Linked DNA regions of Arabidopsis thaliana. The protein of the gene in region 1 interacts with the protein of each later gene in a pairwise test. Each region holds a gene or a part of one and is shown on either strand. Other genes may lie near its edges.

The links. Proteins that work in one complex are often made in the same cells at the same time.
Region 2: the proteins of RTM3 (region 1) and RTM1 interact in a two-hybrid assay, tested with the Arabidopsis thaliana proteins (one study listed by BioGRID).

The regions. Positions count from the first base shown.
Region 1 is NC_003074.8:21,590,892-21,594,962, forward strand, and holds RTM3 (RESTRICTED TEV MOVEMENT 3), read right to left. Parts: upstream 2,048-4,071; 5' UTR 1,946-2,047; coding exon 1,839-1,945; intron 1,764-1,838; coding exon 1,597-1,763; intron 1,507-1,596; coding exon 1,280-1,506; intron 1,132-1,279; coding exon 727-1,131; 3' UTR 518-726; downstream 1-517. Other genes in the region: AT3G58360 (TRAF-like family protein), read right to left, coding at 2,614-3,018, 3,122-3,348, 3,633-3,790, 3,869-3,975.
Region 2 is NC_003070.9:1,723,198-1,726,162, reverse strand, and holds RTM1 (Mannose-binding lectin superfamily protein), read left to right. Parts: upstream 1-1,628; 5' UTR 1,629-1,650; coding exon 1,651-1,929; exon of another isoform or gene 1,930-2,048; coding exon 2,049-2,366; 3' UTR 2,367-2,429; downstream 2,430-2,965. Other genes in the region: AT1G05770 (Mannose-binding lectin superfamily protein), read left to right, coding at 1-131, 281-616.

The DNA.
Region 1 (4,071 bases):
TCCAAAAAATAAATACATAAAATAGATTCGTTAAATCAAAACTTGGATTAAATAATTAAGATGCGTAGATAATTCTGATAAAGTAGTACGCACGCATTTTCAAAATAAAACTTGCAAAAACCTTAAGAGTAAAGCGTTAAGACTTATTTGATACTTGATTCACAAGTAACGACGAGAGAAACCTAAAATCTCCAACACAAGGAAGGTGCTGAAATAAGGAATGGAGAAGTAAAAAGACTAATGATTTATGATTCATGCATTCAAACAACATCCCTGAAACTAATTCGAACTTTAGAAGCCAAAGCGGCAGCTTTCTCTTTCTTAAGTTCGGATTCCAAATCAGACAAAGCCAGCTTTCGCTTCTTGATCTGTTCCTCGAGTTCTTTGATCCTGGGACCACTAACTCTCTGTTACTCCTTCTTCAAGTAAGCCTGAAGCAACTTCTGACGCAACCAAACCACTTTCAAGCCTGCTCTAGTAAGACCAAAAAGCGTATTCGATATGCAAGTCATTATGTTGAATTTGTTTTGAGTAATATAGATTCTATACTCTCTATATATGATCAACTCTTTACAGAAATCAAGAGAGTTACATTTTACAACATTGTGGATATATACAACACAGGGTCTCTTTTATCTTCCTAAGTTTTAAGAGGACTCATTAGCAAGAACATCCCACAACACCAAGTAAAACCAAACTCCAAGTGTCTTAAAAACACAAGAAGCATCAAACAATATCATCGAATGAGATAGGAGCTTTTGCAGTCGACACTTTTGCCTTCTCCTTCTCAACCAGAGCTTCCATTTCTAAACACTTCTGCTTCATGTCCTTCAACTCTTCCTCCATTTCTTGCAGCCCAGTCTCACTAGCCTCCTCATTCTCCTTCTTTTCTGACACTTCATAAAGTTTCTTCTCCAACCAATCCAGTTTAAATCCAGCATCTCTCATGGATCCCAGTGCATCGTAAGCATCCAACAGATCATCCTTTGACATTTGCTGAGGTAACTGGCTCAGAGTCTCAATCAGACTGAGTAGTAGACTCATGTAACCTGTCCTGAGATTTGGGTTCTTTGGACGTAAATCAGATGCAAGCTCTGGGTGTTTTGCAAACATACGACTCACAGATTTTGCCTGTGAGTGAAAAAGGTGAAAATGAAGTAGAATGCATATCCAAATAGAAGTTCCCGGAGACACCACAAAAGCACCATATCATAGAACAAACACATCGTGTTTTCTCTCGTGGATAAAATTTCTACACAAAATGATGTTATTTTCTTACTTGTGAAGGAAGGAGTTGAAAGCCATTAACATCCACAGTTTCCGTGATTGTTGAAGTTTCCTCTGTCACATCTAATTTGCCAATAGTTTCAAGAACTTTGATCTCGACAACAATCTTAAGTTCCCCGTTTAACAGAAATCCGCTATCTTTGGCATGAATTTCATTTAGGGGACACATGGATGAAAGACCCCAGTTGGTAGTCTTCTCATCAAACCACTGTTCTAGTTCTGTAAAATCAATCACACACAAAAAAAAATAATAATAAAAAAAATTAGAGAGGAACTCTTGCAAAGCTAGCAGTGGTAATAAGTTCTTACCATTAAGTTTTGACTGAGAGAGTTTATCTGATAATTGATTTACTAGAGTTAGACGAAATTTAGTGTGTCTTCTCCATCCAGAAGGCAGAGAAGTAGGAACAGCAACACCAAGAAACAAGGACAAAGAATTAGCATTATTATATCCCTTGGGATAGGCCCGTAGATGCCTGAACAAAAATAAAAGAAAACAAAAGATATCAAGGAAACCTAAAATAGACTAAAAACATAAGAAAAATTCTTACCATTTGCAGCCACCAACGACAAAATGATCAGAATAAATGAGGTCAGATAGCAAAGAGGCGAAATTTTTAATTGTCCAAGTGATCTTCTTATCGAATTGCTTCCCCATTGATACTTGGTGAAGCTTCCTCTGCAATCAAACTAACAGAACATTTAAAAAATTAAAAAGCAAATCAAAGAAAAAACTAGCACAACATGAAGAGAAGAAAACCCTTGGAATCCAAGCTGAGATCTCAACTAACAATATCAAGCAGCATATCTATATATATGGTTTCGAAGCCTCAAAAGTTTGATGATTTGTTAATCATTTAGATTACGTACATGAGGGATACGAATCGCTTGCGGATCCTCTTAGGGTTACTTGGAGCATGGGCAACCTAGATTCTGTCTTTGGGGAAAAGGGATAACTTTTGAACGAATCTTCTTTCTCTTTCTTTCCATCTCGATGAGATTCTTCTTCTTCCTCGTTCTTATCTCGACCATATTCTTCAGACTCTCTCATGTCAGCTACTTCTTTCTCCTCTCAATTTATTTCCCTTATTTTCTCTCATGTATTTTGATTTTGGTACTTTTTTTAGACAAAGCTGTGATCATATTTTTTTTGTCATCATAACAGTAACTCAGATATTAAAAATTTGTAAAAAGAATTTTGATGAAACAATGATAGCAGAAACTGTTCCAAAAAGGTGAAATAACGTAGCAGTTGTTAATTTATCTAAACAAAACCACAATGCAAACGAACAGACCAAGGAGAATAAAATCTCTATCTCAAAAATATTAAAAAACATCATTGAATGATAGAGGAGATTTTGCAGCAAAGACCTCTGCTTTCTCCTTCTCCAGCTGAGCTTCCAGGTCTAAGCATTTCTGTTTCAAACTTTCCAGCTCTTCATTGATTTCCTGCATCCGAGTTTCACCAGCCTCCTCTTTATTCTTCTTTTCTGATATCTCAACAAGTTTCTTCTCCAACCAATCAACCTTAAATCCAGCATCAGTTATGGATCTGAGTGCAACATATCCCTCAGCTAGATCAACCTTGTTGAGCTCCTGAGGCGACTGGCGCAGAGTCTCAATGAGACTGAGTAGCAAGCTCATGTAACCTGCCCTAAGATTTGGGTTCTTTAAACGGAATTCAGATGCAATCTCTGGGTGTTTTTCAAACATATGCCTCACAAAGTCCACCTGAGAGTTACAAAATAGAATCCATAAATATTGAACACATCATGTTGTCTCTTGTTGTTGAATATATTCTACACAAAACGTTAGTAGCATTCTTAATTTTAACCTGTGAGGGAAGAAGTTGAAAGCCATTAAAATCCATGCTTTCCATTATTGTTGAAGTTTCCTCTGACACATCGAGTTTCCCAATAACTTCAAGAACCTCTATCTCGGCAACAATCTTGAGTTCTCCATTAACCAGAAACCCGCTATCTTTGGCATTGATTTCATTTAGAGGAAACATGGATAGGCGACCCCAGCGAGGAGACTGCACATCAAACCACTTTTGTTCTTCTGTAAAATCAGAAACAGAATTTATATAATCACTCCATTTACGTGCAAACAAAGGACTAAATGAATTATATATGTTTCTGTGGATTGAACAACAATGCTAACAACTAATACAACAGTAACACCATGATCCCACACAAACACCCTTGAGCAACATTTAACTCAAGTCCCAAAACGAGTCTCACAAATCACCACTCACCAGATATACGATGTAGCAAAACAAAATGTTTGTGTTTGTGATCATTAAAATATATTTGGAGAAAACAGTAGTGAGAAGAAATAAGTACCATTTTGTTTGGAACGTTTCACCGAATTTTGATTTACTACATTTAGGAGATATCGGGCATGTCTTCTCCATTCGGGTGACAATGATTCATAATCAGCTACTTCCAAATACAGAAATAAGTAATCAACATTATTTCCCTTGGGATAGACAAGAAAACGCCTGCAAAAATAAAGTCTAATTAATAAGAGAGTCAGCAAAACTGTGTAGAGGATCAATCACCGAAGGAAAACGCCTTACCATTTACATCCACCGACGATGAATGGATCAGAATAAATTTTCTTTGAATGTAAAGATGAAAAATTCTCGATAGCCCAAGTGATCTTCTTAGCAAGTTGCTTCCCCATTGATCTTGGCAAAGATTATTCTGCAACCAAAATACCATAACGTGAAGAGAAAAAAAAAACCTAAAAAACTTTTTTTTTTCTTGAATTATAAAACAA
Region 2 (2,965 bases), on another chromosome or scaffold:
GAATCATCTCTCAAATATTTCTATCTCATGGTCCCACCGGTGTTTTCTCTATCCAGTTCCAGTTCATGCTCGACGATACATTTTTCTTATCCTCCTGCCACGGTCAGAATACTGGCAGCATGTTTGACGTTGTGAGTGTGTTCTGTTTTTGTTTTTCTTCATTAGTACACGAATCACTAGATTCGAAATTTACTAACAACAACTTAATGTACTTAATTATATATATTGATCTCACGAACATGGTTAATATAAATTAAAATGTGGATTTTGGGCTATGCAGATACTTTTGAACTGCCCACATGAGTACATAACAGGAATTAGTGGAGAGTATCTCAAGTCCGATGGCGCTAGCGGCCCTCAGATAAGGTCTCTTGCATTTGCTACCAACCTTAATCAGTACGGTCCTTTTGGCGGCTCGAGCTCTCAGTCTTCGATTTGGAATCACGAACAACAGTTCAGATTCAAACTAGGGAAATTTCGCCAGTTCAGCGGTTTCTATGGGACATATAATGCCTCGGGACTACAAAATATCGGTGTTTATCTCCAACCAACAATTGTTAAACCTACCGGTACACGCAATGCAGAGGAAACTGAGTCAAACATTGTTTTGGGTTAAATGAAATTGTGTATTAATCTTAAACCTTCTTCAGCCTCTACATGCGTTTATATCAATATCTTTCGAACTTTGTATGAATAAAATTACTTTACGTGTGTGTGATGCGTCTGTAAATATATACACATGCATTAAGCATATAAATAATCATTGGTTCAACCATATTCCTCGTTGCCCAGCAGGGAATATATTTTCCCACAAACACAATTAATCCTCAATATAGGGACCATATGGTCTCAACTCTCAAGTCTCAACAACGACATCTCACAGATTTATTTTTCTATCAGAAGATGTTTTTGGGATAACCTCCATCCGGAAAAACATTTTGCTAATTTAAAATTCTCTTAAATGTATTAATCAAAAATTACTAGAATCCTCCGCACCAAGTTTTTTTAATAATTACTAGAATCCTTTTTCTTTGAAATAATTCTAATATGAGACATTCAAATAAATACATATTATCCTGCAAGATTTATGTATATAAATAACTTATTAATCATGACTACTGAGGCGTGCAAATAAAACCCTATTTTGAGTTAAATACATATAGTCTAAATATGTGTATAAAACTTGAATATTTTTGTCTTTAAAAACAGCCAAATACAATTGAAATTGTAATGACATTAGAAAAAACTATACTTATGTCTCGACCAACGTAGTAAATCGTTTTAACAGACTAAGATAATCATTGCATTACATAATTTTCATCCGACAATACATTCTTTCAAAATTCGACTCTTTGTCAAAGCAAATGAAAGAAAGGAAATAATTTGCTAGATGAAGCTATGCAAGATTGTAAACGAATATTCCAATCTGAGGCGTCAAAATAAGAACATTATCTTAAAGAATCTCTAGTAACAAATCTATTAGTCATTTCATTAAAACAAATTGGGTAATGGAGAGAAGAAGCAAAGATAAATGCAATAAAACAATGAATCGTAAGATGAATTACTAATATCAAATTGGATAGGCATATTCCAATCTGAGACTTCAGAGTTAGAGAACTTTGAATCTCTACATGTATATATATTAATGTTATGCTATTTTCGTTATGTAACCAAACAAAAGAGCTTTTGAGTTTTGGTCGTACAAAAAAAAAGAAAGGGAAAATGAAGATAGGACCTGTAGGGAAGCATGATGCTAGAAGCACTACAATTGTAAACTGGGACGAAGGATCTCACGATGGCTTCATCTCTCAGATTTTTCTATCTCATGGCGTCGCTGGAATTATGTCTATCCAATTCCAGTTCGTGATGGACGGAAAACTCGTTTTATCCGATCGTCACGGTCCATTTTCCGGCAACATGTTTGACGTTGTAAGTCTGATTTTTGACTCTTCTTTTTTCTCCGTCACAATTTCTACTTCCAACTAAAATGCTAAGAACATGGTTATAACTTTTTTTTTATAACTTAATATGTGATTTGGACCCAGCAGATAGAGCTCAACTATCCGCATGAGTACATAACTGGAATCAGTGGAGAGTATTACAAGTATGAAGCCAACAATCCTCACATGAGGTCTCTCAAATTCAATACCAACACTAGCGAGTACGGTCCTTTTGGCACCTCCGGTTCGAGCAACGACAAATTTGCTTTTAAACTCGGGAAATCTCCTCAGTTCGGCGGTTTCCATGGGACTTATGATGCCTCGGGACTACAGTACATTGGTGTTTATCTCCGCCCAAAAACAGTTCTACCCAAAATAGATACGGGCAATGCAGAGGAAACAGAGTCAAAAATTGTACTGGGCTGAAAGTGTTTGTATACGACTCTATTCTGCTGATTGTACATTCTTAATTATGAAAATTCTTCTATGAATAAACTGATATGTGTAACATATAATCGTCAAAATACTTTAACCTTTATGATACAACATTAACAATACCAGATGTACCTAGAACAGAACTCACTATCTTCGAAAAATGCATTAACAAGGATATTGTTGGGAATAATTACACTCAAGCTAGCAGGTCTTATAGATGTTGTACTGCCTATGCATTTCGCTGAATCAATCCTGTGCTATGATCACTGCTAGGTAAACAAATGCTAGAAAATGCCCCAAGGTATCACAAAATCCACGCAAACAGAACACCAAAGTGTTGCAAAATGTGGGAGTTATTGAACTGTTTACTAACTTGACAGTAACCAGCAATAACATCAACATAACATGACAAGACACAGAAGAATGCACATAGATTCAGGTTACCTTATTAGCACGAGGAGACGGCCGCCAAGGCCACATAGCTTGGATTCGAAGCTTACAAAACACGGGAGCACCATATCCTTGTGTGGCCTCTATTCAGCAGGTTTAAATAGCGATATACACCCAGATCTTTATTGGTAGGGCCTGGC